Oryzias latipes: one gene and its partners. Each later gene encodes a partner of the first gene's protein in a complex. Links are inferred from orthologs where the notes say so. Each region holds a gene or a part of one and is shown on either strand. Other genes may lie near its edges.

What was found. The genes of interacting proteins can lie anywhere in the genome.
Region 2: the proteins of rnaseh2b (region 1) and rnaseh2a are in contact, whole or in part, in a crystal structure (PDB 3PUF), measured with the Homo sapiens proteins. The link is inferred for Oryzias latipes from reciprocal best matches to the Homo sapiens genes RNASEH2B and RNASEH2A. Residues at the interface, in NP_078846.2 of Homo sapiens: His16, Phe18, Lys39, Asn42, Gly48, Ala49, Ile50, Val63, Lys64, Val65, Phe66, Lys67, His70, Phe74, Val79, His86, Phe87, Val183, Tyr211, Gly214, Leu215, Asp218, Tyr219; in NP_006388.2 of Homo sapiens: Val227, Phe228, Ile253, Trp254, Glu255, Ser284, His285, Tyr287, Phe288, Arg291, Gly292, Leu293, Glu294, Ser295, Ala296, Thr297, Ser298, Leu299.
Region 3: the proteins of rnaseh2b (region 1) and rnaseh2c are in contact, whole or in part, in a crystal structure (PDB 3PUF), measured with the Homo sapiens proteins. The link is inferred for Oryzias latipes from reciprocal best matches to the Homo sapiens genes RNASEH2B and RNASEH2C. Residues at the interface, in NP_078846.2 of Homo sapiens: Arg14, Gln15, His16, Val17, Phe18, Leu19, Val20, Ser21, Glu22, Leu24, Leu35, Met36, Phe37, Val38, Lys39, Leu52, Glu62, Lys64, Phe66, Glu68, His70, His71, Ser72, Trp73, Phe74, Ile75, Asn76, Gln77, Ser78, Val79; in NP_115569.2 of Homo sapiens: Ile9, His12, Arg13, Val14, His15, Leu16, Ser18, Ala27, Thr28, Leu29, His30, Leu31, Leu32, Pro33, Cys34, Glu35, Val36, Ala37, Val38, Asp39, Gly40, Pro41, Ala42, Pro43, Val44, Gly45, Phe48, Phe63, Val75, Pro77.

The regions. Positions count from the first base shown.
Region 1 is NC_019879.2:9,575,408-9,581,268, reverse strand, and holds the end of rnaseh2b (ribonuclease H2 subunit B), read left to right. Parts: intron 1-1,544; coding exon 1,545-1,650; intron 1,651-1,723; coding exon 1,724-1,788; intron 1,789-1,860; coding exon 1,861-1,966; intron 1,967-2,148; coding exon 2,149-2,230; intron 2,231-2,307; coding exon 2,308-2,353; intron 2,354-3,635; coding exon 3,636-3,713; intron 3,714-3,937; coding exon 3,938-4,036; 3' UTR 4,037-4,095; downstream 4,096-5,861. Other genes in the region: uncharacterized protein LOC105356763, read right to left, coding at 5,594-5,838. UniProt on the Homo sapiens protein: Non catalytic subunit of RNase H2, an endonuclease that specifically degrades the RNA of RNA:DNA hybrids. Participates in DNA replication, possibly by mediating the removal of lagging-strand Okazaki fragment RNA primers during DNA replication.
Region 2 is NC_019859.2:10,613,554-10,619,787, forward strand, and holds the start of rnaseh2a (ribonuclease H2 subunit A), read right to left. Parts: upstream 3,833-6,234; 5' UTR 3,534-3,832; coding exon 3,407-3,533; intron 3,326-3,406; coding exon 3,254-3,325; intron 1,892-3,253; coding exon 1,765-1,891; intron 1,689-1,764; coding exon 1,601-1,688; intron 185-1,600; coding exon 47-184; intron 1-46. UniProt on the Homo sapiens protein: Catalytic subunit of RNase HII, an endonuclease that specifically degrades the RNA of RNA:DNA hybrids. Participates in DNA replication, possibly by mediating the removal of lagging-strand Okazaki fragment RNA primers during DNA replication.
Region 3 is NC_019868.2:12,025,783-12,031,829, forward strand, and holds rnaseh2c (ribonuclease H2 subunit C), read left to right. Parts: upstream 1-2,215; 5' UTR 2,216-2,329; intron 2,330-3,298; coding exon 3,299-3,452; intron 3,453-3,734; coding exon 3,735-3,847; intron 3,848-3,979; coding exon 3,980-4,099; intron 4,100-4,461; coding exon 4,462-4,485; 3' UTR 4,486-4,699; downstream 4,700-6,047.

The DNA.
Region 1 (5,861 bases):
AATATGTAAAACCAACAAGACTTTAACCCTTGTGCTGTCCTAGGCACTTTAACATTGGGAGTTGGGTCATCTAGACCCACTAGACAGTGCTCTGAACCTTTTTCCTTCAATGATTTGTGATCTTCACTGGTGTCCATGGATTACATGAAATCTTTCCATCTTTATCCACCTTTGTCATGGTAGAAATAACACGTCAATGTAAGGGTGGGGTCATCTAGGATAGCACAAGGGTTAAAATGACAAACGCAAAAAAATCCAAGAATTTTGAAGCAAAATTATTTCACTTTTTTATCCTCAAAAGAAGCATATTTCAAATATAATCCATGTTAAAGACCTTTAAAATAACTCAAACAGGGCAAACAAATGGTTAAAAAAGCAAGAAATTAGAAAAAATGGTAGCTCTAGTCCACTAAATCACTATCGAGCAAAAAGGAAGCCACATTTGATTGTAGTTCAGAGTCACTGTTGTCATGTGGGCCAAAATTCATCTACAGCAGACTGTTCTAAAACAGTTAAGTAAAGAAGTGCTTCCTGCTCAGATGAGTCCAACTGTGACATTTATGTAGTAATTTCTGTGCTAAACTGAGACCTTCCAGTGTGAAATCAGCCTTTAGTTTGAAGACCCACTCCGATCATCTTTTCATCTATTTTTTTTAAAATCATGATTATGCCGGGTTTTTTCTGCCAAAATCCAAAAACTTTGTTGTTTTTTAGAGCGGCAGTACTTCAGTAGAAATTCACCTTTGAGGTGTGGGTGGGAATGTTAGTATGGAGCAACCCCGCCCCCTCCCCCTCCCCGGAGAAATACAGGGATTTGATTAATTACACCTCAGAGATAAAAAAAGTTGTTTGAATTGAATTAAATTAAAAAATATACTCATAAAAGCAATTTTAATCTTAGCACATGAGAGCCCATGGTGACAGCGGTGCAACAGAAAAATATCAGAAATGGATTCTATGGTCCGCTTGGTTTGTGGTAAAATACACATTTTATTTTTAAGAAAAAAATGGGTCTGGGTTCTTATGGGTTAATTTTGTCTCTATATGTCCTCCATCCTAATAGAAATGCCACAAGCGTGTTGGAAGAGTTTTAAATAAAACATACTTTTTAACCCAACCATACGTACCTGCAGTATGTCACAACGTCACATCGTCTGTCTGGATTCCACAAAACTTACAGAAATATCTTTGTATATTGCTCAGATATACAAGTGTCCTGCTTTATGCTATTTTGTTTATTTTATTCAGAACACAGACAGTGGCAATAAAGTTGAATCTGATCTTAAATTGAGAGAACAAATATTTGAGCTGTTTGGAAATCTGCAGCACATCAAACTTAAAATCAGTTAATTTTCCAGGATAAAATGAGAAATTGCTGATATGTGATTTAGATTTTAAAATGAATATTTTCAGTTAAAAAATAAATCCTTTTGTGAAATTGGGATGAATTTGATGTATTTTCAGCTCGATGCGTCTCGTGTGTGTGTGTGCTGCTGTGCTGCAGGTGGATACAAACGATTGAATCCTTTATTATAATTCCTCAGGGCAAGTTTCAGCCGGTGGATCAAGTTGTTAAAGATGAAGACTTCCCTGCTTGCTCCAGGCTTCTCAGCTGCTCGTGTTCTTTTCTCCACATTGCAGAAGAGAAAGGTGAAGTTTGTATTGTTGCTGCGACTCAGGTTTATGCCACACACCTCACAAAATGTTGTTTTTGTCATTTAAGAGGTGGGGGGCTTAAAGTTTCACCGATACAGCCAAGAGAGGACCATGAACTGGTTAAAGAAAAAGGTGAAGAGTCAGACACGGGACCCTCAGTGTTTGGAAATCTAAGTGGAAAATGAGCATCCTTTTCTGTTGAAGGTGGAGAGAACAGCAGCGGCTCTGAAGACGAAAAATGTCTCTGTGGGAGAAGGAGTTAAATCCACAACATATATCAGAATCAAGTCAGAGTCTGAGGGCCGAGAAGGTATCTCCCCTTCAGTTCTCCTTTCTAATCTGTGTGGATTTTCACCAGTAGATGGCAGTAGAAGTGTGAACCTTTCAAATCATGAAAGAAAAACTTTTTTTTTTTAGCTCTCAGCAAAAAAGTTGAGAGCATGAAGGATTTTTCAGGATGAAAATGTATTTGTTTCTTTTTTTGTTGGACAGAAGACTATCTACGCTACGCTCATGGCCTGATATCAGAGTACATTAGTGAAGCGCTGAGCAAAGCCCTCCTCAAGCATTTGGGGTAAAAGAAGCATTTTAAACATCACCGTCGGTAACAAATGTGTTTTAACGCTGAACATGTTTGTTGTTGCACTTTAGGTTACCTGAGCTCACAAGTCCAAAGGAGGCGGAGCCTCCAGCTAAGGTATGATGGTGTGTAGTAAGTGTTGCTGGTTTTGCTCTGCATGCTGCTCTAACATTGCTGCAGGCCTCATAGGGACAATCCCCGTCTGCCTGCTTGCGCTTTGAAATGGTGGTGCTTTGGGCTGCAGCTTGAGGTTCATGCAGTCCTGTCTCTGGCTACGTTCACACTGCAGGGCTCAATGCTCAATTCCAATTTTTTTGAAAAAATCCGATTTTTTTTTTTGCAAGGCCGTTCACATTTCCAATTAAATGCGAACTTTTGTGATCTCCTGTGTGAACGTGAAATGACCCAGAAGTGACCCACATGCACAGAAGAGTACACAACCGTGAATGGCGTCACTCGTTGTTTGCTGAAGTAGCTAATGTTAAAAATGGATGTCAACAACAGTGTTGTCAACAGCGGAGCTCTTTTTGCATTATTACATTTATTTTCACAAAGGAGCCAGCACAATTACAATCTTCTCATTTTGAGAAGGCATTTGAGCCAGGATCGTCTGTAACCACTGTTGTGGAATGGGGATGTGTATGTGCTGGGACCGCGTGTGTGTGTGTCTGTGTGCGCGTGTGTGTGTGTAAGAGAGAGGAAAAGAGCGTGTGCAGCGAGGTAGAGAATGAGTGGGGGGGGGCAGTGGGGGCGCGCATTCATGTTGTGTGATACGAAGGAAGGAGAACGGTAATAAAAGAAGGCTCCCCCCAGCAGAAATGCCATTGACTCTTTATTAACCCGCTCTTGAGAATCTTAAGGTCCGAACGAGGAAGTGAACCCCGAAGGAGGATCCGCTTTCTGTCCCCCGCACTTCTGACCACGGTTGGACAGGGAAAAGAAGTCATGGCGGGAAAGGTTCAACACCACGCTCTGCCATTTCGCTGGAAATTTTTTTCAAAAACCGTCCGGTTGCGATAAGAGCCTTGAGTTTGGCCTGAATAGAGCTGTCACCCCAAATATGAATCCAATCGGTGACCTCGCTTCCCTTCCACTGACTGGTCTCAGCAGCATCGTCCGCCATGGTTGATGTTTATGATGACGTTTGTAACGTATCAGTGACGTACGGGTCGGATTCATGTGGCCTGGCCAGTTAGACGGTGGTGGCATTTGAAAAGATCGGATACGTATCGGATTCAGAACCACATACCCAAGTGGCCTAGGTCACATTTGAAAAGATCAGATACACGTCGCATAGGGGCAAAAAAAGCGGAATTGGGTCGTTTCAGCCTGCAGTGTGAACGTAGCCTCTGTGGCGCTCTTTATCATGAAAAGCATGTCTCACTTCCTCATTTGGCAGAAACGGAAACTTTCAGACAAACCGGTGGAGGCGGGAGAGGACTACACCAAATTCAACAGTGCAGACTTTGCAAGGAAAGTGAGTGAATGCGGAGCAGTTTGATTGAATGAAGGAAATCTTACAAATACTGATTCAGTTGTGCCTGCTTACTGCTTTCTTTAAGCTTTTGGTCAAAACTTTTTCTAAAAAAAACAATATTTACAGTTTATTACTAAACATGACTTTTTTTTCTGACTAATTCAAAAAAGCTACGTATATTTTACCAATTGTTTTATTTGTATTTTTTCCTTTTCTTTTTAAAGCCTCCCAAAAAGATGACAGCCGCTCAGAAAACTCTGGCCAAAGTGGACAAGAGCGGCATGAAGTCGATGTCATCCTTCTTCAGCCCAAAATCTAAATAAAGGAATTGTCTTCCCTTTTAATTTGTACATGCTGTTTGTAATAAAAGAAAGGAAATATTTCTGTTGTGGTGTTTTTTTATTTGTGATACTTAAAGGATCCATAAAGTTGATTTTTGACTGTTGTTTTTTTTTTTGAGTAAATCGCCAACATTCATTCATTCATTCATTCATCTTCTTGACCGTTTTTCCCTTTCGGGGTCACGGGGGTTGCCGGGGCCTATCCCGGCCACTTGGGCGTAGGCAAGGGATACCCTGGACTGGTCGCCAGTCTGTCGCCAACATTTATTTCAAACTAAATTGAAAGTCCCAGTCCAATCATCTTTTAAGATAAAAGCGTTCCCAGTGGTATTTTAATTAATGATGCCATTTTTAGCAGACATTCATAAAACCAGTGTTTTCTGGGACATGAACATGTTAAAAGCACAATTTTCGTCACAGTCTGGCCTTAAATCTGATATTTAGTTGGACTGCTTAATTGTGTTTTTCCTCAGGATTTCATTTGGCTGTTATGTCAAAGTTGGGCTACAACTCAAATGATTTAGCATTACCTAACCGAAGAGGCTTCCTTTCTCTGCCCTGAAGTGCAGAATGCTGTACTGCAAAATGAAAAGCCTCCACTGGGGGAGTAGAAAGGAAAAACACTGTCTTTGGTTTGCATTTTAATTACATTTAATGAAATCATGAGGAAAAACAGGAGAAAATAGATTGAAAGTAAGACATAAGTGCACTTCAGTACAAAGTTCTTTTTTCTGTTAGTGTTAAGAGCTCAAAGTCATTTTTTAATGCATCTTACACTTAAAAAACAAGAGTTTAAACACAAACGGCATTGCCAGATGCCACAGAGGTCTTCAGGTTAATGCAACAAAACTCTAAAGTTGAACTCTGATTAAATTAAGCAAGATTGGTTGTAATGGAGGCTCTGGAGTCGGAGGCGCTCAGATCAGTTAAGCCGTGAATTCTGCCAGTAGAATAAAACCCTTTTGTGCGAAGGGCTGAGCGCTTAAATGGAAGCCATTTTTGTGTTTTACAGTTGGCATTGACACTTTGAAGCAGAGGAGACGCTCAGGTTGAAAACTTTTAACTGTAATCGGGCAGAACTACAGAGCTGCCACAGTTTTGAACGTTTCCCTTAAATTGTTCAGCTCAAAAAGCCCTTTGACTGGAAGCATCCTTTCTTTTTTCTTTGTGCAGCATTTTCAAACCTCATGCCGTCCTTGTTAAAATCCTAATGTTCATGACTGAAATCAAGTGTGAAAATGTTAATTTGTTCAAAAAAATGTAAAAACTAAGGCCATATCTTTTATGTTCTTGTGCCACAGCAGAGAAAGGCGTTAAACAAAAGTAAAAAAAAAATGTTTCAGAGTCTCTGTGTCCTGGATTTGTGTCCCAGAGTGGAAATCCGAGCTCATTTTGCTCATTGAGAGTGTGATTTTTTTGAATCTTTTCCTTTAAGTAAAATGTTAAATGTTCACAAAGAAGTTTGCTGAATACAACTCCTGAGCAAAGAAGTGTTCAAGCATTGTGGCGGGGGCTTATGTTTCAGATGCCCATCGAGCTTCACTGCTTTTTTAGTTTGGGCTTGAAGCGCAGCGTCTGGAAGGCGCTCTCCACCACTTTGGGCAGGTGGATGGGGTTCCTCTGAAGACGCAGTCTGCTGCTTGTAGATCCGCTCTGGTTCTTCTTCTTTGGGACTTTTTCAATGGCACTGTCTCTAACTGCTGGCTGTGTGGAACCATCTGCAACTCGAGGGACCTTCAACACCCAGTTGGAGTGAAGGTCGTGCTCAGTCGAGCTCGACGCCACTGTGAGAGGAATACAAAGGAAA
Region 2 (6,234 bases), on another chromosome or scaffold:
ACTTCAAACAGGTAGATGCGACACACAAGATTAATCGACCTTTCACCTTTGCACAGATACTGGCCGCACTGACGACGGGGAAGAGGGAGTCGGCTTTTGGTCTAACGGTGACCTCAATACCAGGAAACCGCTGTGAAAGTTTCTCCTCGTACTTCTCTGCCGGACCAACTGTGTCCACGTAGATCTGCAGACCGGACAAGACAGAGGAGGGGTGGAGCAAGTGAGGGTGGAGAAGAAGAAGAGTGACTGGAAGCACATCTACCACAAAATAAGTGACAATGTCGCAAAAGAAAAAAACCAAACCTGACAAAAACACAAAGCGTAAGTGCTTTAAAGTGGGGCTGGGTTGATAAAATCGAGATAAATAAATTAATAATTGATCCCTAAACGTAGAAATCGATCTTTTATGCCTTTCCTTTTGTGAAAACCCATAGTCTGCTTGCTTGATGCTAACATATGATGGAATTTCCCATAGGACAGCTAATAGCTAACAGCTGTATAAACTCACAGGCAGGAATTTTTCAAACTCTTTAAACTTAAACCTTTTTTAAGTAACTATTTGCGGTCTAATGCAGTTTTTTGCTGCAATTTTCAAAAATAAAGTGTAACGGTGGCGAAACGGAAACACCCTCCAGAAGAGGCAGAACATTCATTTTTGCAATGAGCCAATTTAGGGCCTTTACAAGGTTATTGATCTGCATATTTTTGTTGAAGCTTATCCTGTTTACAATTTTACAGTATGTGAACTATGTCAGATTGATATGAATATCTTCAAAACATATACAGATTATTGTTGTATAGCCCTACTTTAAACACAGACTCCGATGAAAATGGTGTTCTTTACATGTTCTTGTAGCATTTTTTTCTGACGAGGACATGTATAAAGAAATTTGAGCTCCAGATTGTTCTTCTGTATCTAAATTGTTGTGAATTAGGACCAGATAAAAAAAAAGTGTTTTGTGAAATAGAAAATTGCTTTGCGTTCTCACCAATGGGGAGGGGAAGGGGGCCATGGTTGAACCGTGCCAACCGTCCCACCCACCACTCAGAGGCAATTTTGTAACCCTTGTGCTATCCTAGGCATTCCAACATTGGGAGTTGAGTCATCTAGACCCACTAGACAGTGCGCTGAGCATTTTTTCTTTAATTATGTGTGATCTTCACTGGTGTCCATGGATTACATGAAATCTTTCCACCTTTATCCACCTTTGTCATGGTAGGAAGAACACGTCAAAGTAAGGGTGGGGTCATCTAAGATAGCACAAGGGTTAATGAACTACTACTCTTCTTCAGAAACTATGTCTTTTTTTTCTTCTTTTGGCTGAAAACGACATCAGAATCAGAATCAGAGATACTTTATTGATACCACACGTGGGAAATTTGTTTGTCACCATAGCAACTGAGAGCAGAGGGAAAAAAAAGACTTAGAATTAAGTAAAAAAAAAAAAAAAAGCAAGAACAACAAAATGTAGCATAAATACAGACATCAAGGTATTATAGTTTAAAAAGCTATTTACAGACATAATCATACAGACATAATTAAGACATAATCTTAATTAAAAGATCGCTTTTATTTACATAAAACGATAGTGTGGCGTACCTCTTTAAGCTGCACTCCACTGTCCAGGGCGTACTGTATTAGCCCAATGGCGGTATCGTGTGAGAGCGCATTCAGGTTGTATTTTGTCCTATAAGTAAAAGCAAACATGAAGCTACGGTTTGTGAATCACTGAACAATGACCATGAGATCTGGACACGCCTTACCTTTGTAACATACTAGTGGAGATGGTGTTGGGTGAAAGAACATGCAAAGCCCAGCCAACATAACTTTTGGCTTCATCCAGGTTGTGGAAAAGTCTTTCTCTTTCTTCTTCTGTCAGCGTCTTTGAATCTGGAAATAAGGGCAAAGTTAAAAAATGGGGGAAACGTTCAAACATTTTTCGAAATGGTCAAGAAAGTTGTGCATACTTGATTAGAAGAAAGAAGGAAAACCTGGTGAAATAGCGCTTTGGGATTTTATCTAAAATGTAAAGCGCATTCTAAATAAAATTTATTATTATTATTATTAAATGTGGGCATTAAATAAACGCAGAGGAACATGTAAATTCATCTAAGCATTGTGTTCTATACTTAGAACTGTTAAAAGTCAAGAAGAGAGTCTGCATTTTATTTTGTTACAAGATTCAAGTCAATTTTACTTACTTATATAGCCCAATATTACAACAATATTCATCTCAATGGGCTTCAAACGGGCACTTCATGTAATAAACATGAATCACAAAGAACATAAAGTCATAGAATTCAATAGGTATTGGCTTAACTAAACAGACTAAACTAAACTGGGCACCACTCCCTTTAGACCCTCCTTCACTGTAAGGAAAAATTCCAGGGGAAAAAAACAGATTCCGGGGAAAAAAGAAGAAGACGACTCAGGGGTGTCCATATGAAGGAGGGATCCTCCCCCAGGACGGACAGGTGATGTACCACAATTCTTAGAGAAGAATAAACATATCTAACTCTGCAAGATGGATTAGAGTCCCAGACAGGAGAAGCAGAGGAATCGATTTATTTCAAGCAATCAAAAAGAAAAATACTAAATACAAACAAAAGAGATATATGTTAATATATGAAAGTCCCACTCCAATCTTTTGACCCATTGTAAAAGCGTTCCCAGTGGTCTTTTAGTTATAATTATGCCCTTTTTAGCCAAAACCCAAAAACGAAACTTCAATTAGGTTCGATTCCCAGGGTGTGCAATGTACTTTACCCGGTGTAAGTCACTGGGCAAGACCGTTTGTGCTGCTGCCCAACTATGTAACCACGAAGTCTGGGTCCCCTTGTTCCAGTTCCCAGTACGGATAGAATACAGGGGGTCAGGAAGGGCATCCGGTGTCAATCACTCTGTCTAACCATTTGTTAAACCAGTTAAAGCTGATTCCCTAAGTGGATTTGCCGAAAGGCCTTGAAGACCACAATGTTGCAGGAGTTTGTACAGGAAGTGGTACAACTAAAGATAAGAGCTGGGGCAGAATATGAATGAGATGGGCAAATATATTTGATTTTGTTAAGAAAATATATGAAAACTGGTTGTTGTTCAAGTGGAACTGGAAGGATTAAATAATTCCAAGGATGAAACCCTGGCTCTTAATCTGAAAGGAGGGGACGACTGAGGACAAGGGGAAATAATGGTCAACACCGTTGTACAGGTGTGAACACACCTAGACCGCCAATGTAACAGAAGAACCAGTAGTACCTGCAACTTTCAAGTCCTTCAGCTCCTGTTTTTTAGACACTGGACAGAAACATATTCCATACACCATGGGTCCTAGATGAAAACAAGAGCACTGTGATAAAACGCACACAAGTAAACATACCTTCCTAAAACTTTAATGACAAGCTAGCATACCCAGCACAGGCCCCCTGCCCGCCTCGTCAATCCCCAGACAGCAGTCCTCCGTCCTGCAGATGTCAGGGATCTGGGAGGAAAGCCGGCAGCTGACAGTGTTATCTGCTTCAAACGGACCCAGGTCCATGACTACCCACGGCGAGAGTTTTCAAACTAAACTACAAACCCACACGATGAATTCTACAAATTCTAAGCGAATGGTCTTTCCTGATACGATTACTGAACGCAACTACTAGCTAGCGGCTAACTGCTTCTTCTGTGGTCGAACTGTAGAGTTTGTTTTATCAGTACAATAAGAACGCAGGAGTCGCGGTTCTCACAGTAAAACGCTTTAGATGAAATACGGATATAGAAGGAAGATTCAACGTTCTAACTTGTTTTCTTTGGAGCAGGTTTGGCGCCGCGGATATGACGTCAAAAAATAATTTGTTTATCCGGTGGCTTCAAAAGGACGTGCCGCCACCTGCTGGACTGGAGACAGACCTGCAGTCAAAATGATTTTAAACATTTTGATTCAGCAACAAACAAATCTGAAAACAAAAGTAGAAAAAGAATCCCAATAAATACATAAACAAATAGCTATGAAAGGTTAAACATTTTTTAAAGTATACAGTCAATGTTCATTACATATCTGTTATTTTTAATAGAGCTACAGTAACAAGGCAATTTCCCCTTTGTGGATCGATAAACTCTATTCTATTATTTTCTATTCTATTCTATTCTATTCTAAAACTACAAATAAATTAACGAATAAATAAATAACAACACTGGAAATGTGACAACAGTTGTGCAAAAATAAAATATATTTTGGTGTACTATACCACTTCATGCAATTTTAGAGTTCAGTGTTACATGGAGAAACAGAGCAAAAATAAATAAAACAAAAACAGCTACAACTGAAAGGATAAGCAAGTTATGATCTAAAGATTATACGGAAATCTAATTTTGTGTGAATTGGAATATCGTAAGACGTGTTGAGGTGGTTAAAAAATGTTTTGAAAGAATAAGAAACTTTTCCCTGTACATATTTAGCTGCTTTCTGGCTAAATCTGCCTCCCTCTAAGTTCACACTGTGCATGTTAGCTTATTTGTTGATTTTAAATTGCCCGTGGCTGGGAGGGTGTATGGTTTTGTGGCTCAGTTTGGCACTGCTGAAGACTGGCAGCCTGTCTGTGGTTTGAGTCTGCAATATATCTGCTTGCAGACAGGAGGACTCAATCTCTGCAGGCTTGCAGCAGGAACATTAGGCAGAAAAATCAGCTTGATAAAAATCCTAATAATAAGACAAAAACACAAAAACATTGTAAAGACTCCATTGGGCAAAAAAGACCAAAACAGTCTTTTAACAGTTTGCTATATTTTTCATTTTATGTGCAGAGGTTCAAACAATTATGGGGAAGCATTTAAAAAGAGGAGTTCTCCTGCTCTCAAAACTTTATATTTGTGCACCATAAAATTTGCTACACCTTTTAACTTTCCTTTTCCATCTATCCACTTTCTAAACCCACTTGGTCCACTTTTGGGGTTTCCAGAGGTAATCGCAGCTACTTCCTGGTGAAGCCAGGATGATTCACACAGAGATGAACAGCGTTCACATTCACACCTAGTGGCTATTTGGAGTCACAAAGGAACTTAGTTCCTTAGCATAGTTTAGACTACAGGAGGAAGCCGGAGTGCCTGGAGAATATCTATGCACGGACAGGACGAACATGCAAACTCAACATAGAAGGGACCCACTGGAATTCAAACCAGGGACCTCTGTGATGCAAGAGTGCTGACCTCTACCCCACTGTCACAACCTGAAGGCCCGTACACACCGGGACGAATATTCGCCAGGCGTTATTCGCCAGCGTTTTTCGCCACGTTTTTTGTGTTCACACCCAGGCGATTTTCGCTGACGATGAGTGGAGTGAACATGCAATTTCATTCCCTGACATTAGATGGCGCTTAATGTAAAACAGAAATACTCCTGTACACAAGGTGGCGCTGCGCAACTTTACGCTTCTGAAAGTCGCTTTTCACTCAGAAGAAGAGAGCAAGTATTTACACGCTTGTCAGAATCAAACAAAGAAAACATGAATATTTCAAGCACCAGTAGCTCCAACTGGTGCTTGGTTCGGGGATATTTTAGAATGTCCGTCATTATTGCTTCGCGGCTGTGTGTAGACGCTACTTGGCGTCTATCTTCTTCGCTGGTATGTGTGCTCAGCAAGGCAGTTTTGTGTTTGAGCGCCCCCAAGTTGTGTTTTACTGTAACTTCAGAAGCTCCAGACACGTGAGCAAAAGCGCCATTCTCATTGGTCGAGTAGATTTCGACGCGACGCGTCGAAAAAAAAAAACGAACCCGAGGCGTTTTTTTTTTTGACGCTTTAACGCCTGGCGTTTTTTCGCGTCGGTGTGCACACTCTCGTTGGTGCCCTTTGTTTAGTCACGAGGCGTTAAACGTCGGCGAAAATCGCCGGCGAAATTCGTCCCGGTGTGAACAGGCCTTAACTTTACTTTTCTGACCTTTAATTTTTTAACAGATTTGAGAACCAAGCCAAAATCTACTGGGTTAGCGTCACAATTCAATAAGTTTATGTTGTTTTTGTTATGAACCAGTTAAATGTGACCAAGTTTAGTCCTAGGAGAAACTGTGACATTTATATTTTTGATGTTGTTCTGTGCCAAGCTCCTTGCTCCACTCCATTCCGATGCATCAACTTGCAAACAAAAAAGTCTTTGTCCTCCTCATCCCAGCTGGCATCTGGCTCAAAACTGTTACCGCTGGATAGCTCCAATATTGCTCGCCATTCTAAGTTTTATTCTAAGTTGGGGGTGTGAAAGCG
Region 3 (6,047 bases), on another chromosome or scaffold:
AGCAAGTCTTTCCCTTAATATTTGACGTTTCTGTTGAGCGGTGTGTCTTCTGCTGTTAAAAACTCACCCCTTGTTTTCTGTTTTCCAAAGAAGAACGGTTAGGAAATCACTCCCTGAAGATCCTCGTCCCGGATGATGTTGGGGAATTGCAGACAGAACTTCCCTTTAACTTACTTAGCGCTGCCGTCTTTGCAGCTACCATTGGACAAAGTTAAGTCCATCCCCTCTGAACACAGTAGCTGGAACCAACTGGAGTACAAGTATAAAAAAAGAAAGTTAGAAGAAAGCTTGGGAACTGCGTCACTATCAGTGTTGCTGTTGGTGGCTACATGTGTTTGCTTCAGAAAATCCCACTAACTCAGATTTTTCCCTCCAGTTTATCAAATGTTTTTATCATGGCAAATCATGAAAGTGGTTAAATCATTACTTAAAATGTGCGGGTAAATGCATTGGAAAAGTCATTACCAGATGAAGCTAGTAAACTGATTGTTGTTAAACTTAATTGCAAAATGTTAGAAATGATGCTAAGACTATTCGTGCTTGCTGTGTGAAAAAAAAGTCTACTTAAAAACTCAAATATTCTACTTTCCTTCACATTACTGGCAAGTAAACAACAAATGTAAAAAACATTACTGAAGGCAATAAAGCAATTTGCCTTTAGACACATAACATTTCAAATGTCTCTTTTCAGGCTCACAGAAATCTTTTAGTTCTTATTTTTTTCCCCTTTTCTTCCAAGAAAAAAGAATCATATCATGTCTATCAGAATCTTTGTATTTTGAATGCACTGCTCTAATGAGGTTTTTCCACAAATTCAAAGTCAAAGAGCCGTGGAGGTCATGGTGAAGGCATGTGACATTGTTGAGCCAGTTCAATTTTTGAGATTCATAGGGATGATTATTTTCACAAAATACTTTTTTTATGATCATTTGACTTTTCACATCAAGTCTTGCTTCAATGAGGTCATCTGAACCTTTTCTTCCACAATTATCCATTTTTGGTTCCAGTAGCTGTGACAGAAAGCTGTGTTGTGTGATTGCCAGAAATACATTTCCAGAAAAGAGATATTTAAATTTTATTTATAAAAAAACGTGTCTATATGAAATGTTCCTGTGTAGATTTGAGCAGTGAGTTTTTGTTTTTTTTGGTCTTTTTAAGGGCATGTGTAAAAGACTGGTAAGCTGACCTGGTTGTCTTCATCCCATGGTGGCTGGAATAGGCTCCAGGGGCCCATGACCCTGTCAGGACAAAACAGGTACTGATAATCATCCAATCTAATCAACAAATCAACCAATAACATTTTTTTTATTAAACATCTCAGAGAAGTTCATCATTGTATACTTTCCTTTTCATTTATGAACCACCAGAGCATCCGTGTAAGTGTTTTATGTTCAAACGTCTTTGTGATCAGGTGGACATTTTACAGCTGAAGAGTCAAAAAAGGAAAATTCTAGCAGCAAACATGGATTTTCCCTTCTCCCCATCTAATAGTTGAGTAAACTTTGCTTCAATTAAATGGTCTTGTAGCAAATCTCTCATTAAAGAATACATTAATAAAGAAATCTAAGCTCAAAATTACATTTCTGAGTTGTCTTATTTAATTTTTTGCGCATCAGGATCAGACAAAAATTACCATTGGAAAACTTCTAGTTGGAATGTAAAAGCTACACTTGGCAGGTCACTGGCTCCCTGCTCTGCTCCTTTCTGATGGATCCATTTGTAAACAACTTGATACACATACGTCTTTGTTTTCCTTGTCTGAACTGGCGTCTGGCTCAAAACTGTATGACTGGATGGCTCCAATATTTTAAAATAGAACACAATATTTGTGATGTTTAGATTTTTCAAACTCCTAAATGACATTTTTCTATTAATTTGAGTATTTAATTGTATGTTTTTATAGTTCTGCATGCCAGTTAAACTAGTCGTAAGAAAATACACCAAAAAGAATACAATGAAACAGATTTTATTGATTTTTCAAACTTAAATTAAAGGCCTTGGAAATAAGTCAGAATAGTTTTAAACAACAGTTTTATGTTATATAAGATATTAAACACGCAAATTATTGAACGTTTGATATGAATGAATTCAAATATCAAGTCTGAAGGCGAAAACACGAGGCAAAGCATTAAAACAAAACAGCTGAAGTAGAGCAGAACAGTAACCACCAGGGGGAGACATCTGTTCGCAAAGGAGAAAAAACCCGCCAAAACAGAATTCAGCGTAGAAGAAGTGACATTCACCGTCCAATCACGAACGGCTCCCTAAACCTACCCGGAAGATCAACTTTTCATGTCACACTCTTATATGCAATACAGTCGCCATAAAGGTACTGGTAATCTTATCGTTTCTTTGTCCACTCCGGATTAAATGCTGCAAACAGTCACTGTTATTAAAAGCGTTTAACTGCAGGAGCGTCGAATACTGTTCGATTAAATGTATTGGTGAAAAGCTTTAGACACAAAGGTTCAAACACACTTCTCCAAAAACACTGCTTCACACATATTTAATTTAAGAGCACGCGCATTTTTTTACTGCTAAATTTAAGTGCGTATATCATATTTTCCCGTAATAATTAAATATATACTTAATAAGTATGAACTTAATGGTCGAAATAAGGTAAAACAACTATGGTCTTAAATTAAGGCAAAATGGTTGTAAAGGCTTTAAATACATCAAATAATACTCTAAATCTTAATGAATTAAATTTTTAGAGCAATTTACCAGGATTTTATCAGCTAATTAGGAGGTTATAGATACTGTACAAGAAGAGGTGCATCTTGATTGATCATTTCTTTATGTAAATTAATTTCATTCATTAAATAATTTTTAATTATTTATGTTTTAAAAATGCAAATGGTACTTGACTAAGCAGACACTATTCATTAGAGATAAAATAAGTCATAATGAAGGAAATAAAGTGAAATGATATAAAAACCCTGCAAAATCTGACATTAAACTACCCTCTTAGAATCAGAAGTACATAATTTATCCCACACCGGGGAAATTTGTGTGTTACTGTAGCAGTAAACATATGAGAAAATGGTATAATATAAAAACAATAATTAAAAAAAAAATGTAGCAGAAATGTAAACAAATAAGGCGGTATAACATTAACTACGACTTGCTGTGGCAAGTTTATTTTAATGTGATAATATTTTCAAAGCTTATAGCTTTTAAATAGATGCCCGTGTAATTGTTAATGATTGTAGAAAAAGAAGGTAAAGGTTACTAATAAAGGTATTTTGAGTGGATGCATAAATATGTCTTTTTTTCTTTCTTGTTACGTTGCTGCAAGATGTCCTGTCACTCCAGCGTCACTCATCTCCACGTGTCTCCTGTGGGACAGGCAGAGCGAGTCCCGGTCCATCTCCTCCCTTGTGAGATTGAACACAATGGGCCTGCCCAGGTCTCACAGTACTTTACTGCAACCATGAAAGATCACAAAGGAGGTACTTGGAATTTTGTCTGAAATCTAAAACCTCTAAGACCTGTAAACACTCCTGAAGTAAGGGGCACTAGCAAAGCCACGACAGGATTGCAAAACAAAGAGAAATGACACCAAAATTATGTCCAGTAGCAATTTTTACTGGTTTGCAGAAAACTATCTTGCGCAATATTGTTTTCTGATTTTTATGTATTTTTTACAATGAGTGATTGTGGGATTTTAAAACAGCAAATACCGTAAATAGCTGCATTTAGCATTGTAAATATAATGGACTTTCTTATAACAGTCAAGGCCGTCTCATTCAGAGGACGCGGGCTGAAAGGTCAGGAGATCTGCTGTCCAGCAGGATACACAGGCCTGGTACTTAAAGACACCAACAAGCCTGGCTCTGACCAGGAGGTAAGCACCTCCCATGACATGTTTCAGAACTAAAAAAGGAATACTGTCACAAGCTGAAAAATGTTTTTTCATGCTGTGGCATGAAGCATAGGTCTAACGATTCTGATGCTTCAATGACTTTGTATCTCTCAGGACAGGATAGTTAGAGTCTCCTCTGTGTTTGATAAACTGACCTACTGGAATCTGGACAATCCTCCAACCTCTGATGACACTGTGGTGATGGCCATGGATTGGCCGGAACTTGCTGAGGCGGTAAGAACATGTCGCAGTTGACCTCAAATCTATAGTTATACCAATCTGCTCCTTACAATAAATCACTGTGATCAAAAACAAACTAAAGAAAATGCATTCTAGTGAAATGTTTTTTTAGTTTTCCTCTTTTTTTATGCTCAAAATCAGTCCCAGCGAGTTTTTCTGTAAATATCTTCTAGGGCACACATGCTGCTTTAGACTTCAATCATGAGTACACAAATATATTTAGCAAACATTAACATTTTAAATAAAATGTAATCATTTTAGTAAATATATCAAATTTAACTCATGTTTTTTTGTTTCTCATTTTCTGTCCAACTGGAGGATCACTTGCATTTGCTGATTCTTTGTCTTTTTTCCAGATACACGAGCCAATAGACGAGTGACGTGATGGAAATACTATTTTAATGGGCCGGCAGACAAATGTCATATTGACATGTGAAATGCACCTTTTATCCCACATGTTTTTCAACCACCAACCTTATAAAACGCTCTGCTATGGCAGAGCGATCAGTTACATAGAGCAGTGTTAACGAAATGATACCTGAATGAGGTTTGTGTTTGTTTGTACATAAATAAAAAACGTAAAGACTTGCAAAAGTGAAATGTTTGATCCTCTGTAACACAACTAACTTTTACATGTTTAACTGGACGGCGTTTATTCACAAGATAACACTGGTAGCCATGAAAGCATTACTGTAACATTGTGTCATAAACACAAAGTCCTATAAGATGAAAAATGATTGGCTTTGACTTGACACATTTCACAGAACGAAGCCTACAACATGGAAACTATTGACACTGTGGTTCTGTCAAAAAGTTTGAGAACAAAAATTGAAAGAAAAAGAAACAGCCTGGATACATGTAAACCATGAGGGGAGTCATTATGAAGGAACTATTTGGAATTTAGTAAAAAGAAATTCCATCCATCCACTTTCCAAAACCGCTTTGCTCCTGTTGGGTTCAGGAGGTTGCTAGAGTCTAACCTGCAGTATAATTACACCTAAAGAACAATTTGGAGTCACCAATAAAGCTATGAGGCATTTTTTTGGACTGTGGGAGGAAGCTGGAGTGCTTAGAGAAAACTCCACACAGAAAAATCCCAGCTGGGCTTTGAACTAAAGCCGTCTCACTGTGAGGAGAAGAGTGCTAACCACTACACCCCCCAACATTCCCTTTATTGAGTGATTGTACTGCACGTTAAAAAAGAGGAATAATCTCTACACCAACACTTCATTAGACTGATAAAACAAGTCAAAGGGCCCAGGTTAGTTAGGTACACATAGAACATCACATACAGTTAATCCAGTACAGAAATTGATGGATGAAAATCTAAACCCCCACCATCTCACTCACTTAAAAACCACAAAGCATTTACTTGTTTTAGTTTCATCTTGTAGAAGTAACAGTACAACATTGAAGGGATGTCATCAGTGAAACTTTGGCAGACATTCACACTGACAGGACAAACAGTCTCCTCTAACTGGTGACAGTAACTATTGAATCATCTACAAAGACAGGTTGTTTTTTGTATTACAAATCTAAACTTTAAAACATGTCCAAAAATATTACAAAACAATCGCACAACAGTACAAGTATCAAATCAGGTTCTGACAGATGACATTCAAATATGTAAGTACAGTGTAATAAATGATAAATAAATGCTTTTCTGTGCTTGTTTTCATTAGATTAGAAACCAGAGTGTCTGCAGTGTTTAACTATATTCTCTACATGATACAAAATAAAAAATTAGACTTATAAAATGACTAAATGAGTGTGTAACTGCTTTAATAAGGTGACTGGCCTATCCCTTAAATGATGCTGCAGTAAATGTGGACTGCTGGGGTCACCAGGATGATAAAGGTGGTTTTCTGCACTGTAGTCTTCTCTTTTTGAAAAAAGAGCAGTGAACACATTCTTTGCAAGTCTAGATATTTCATTTTTGCAG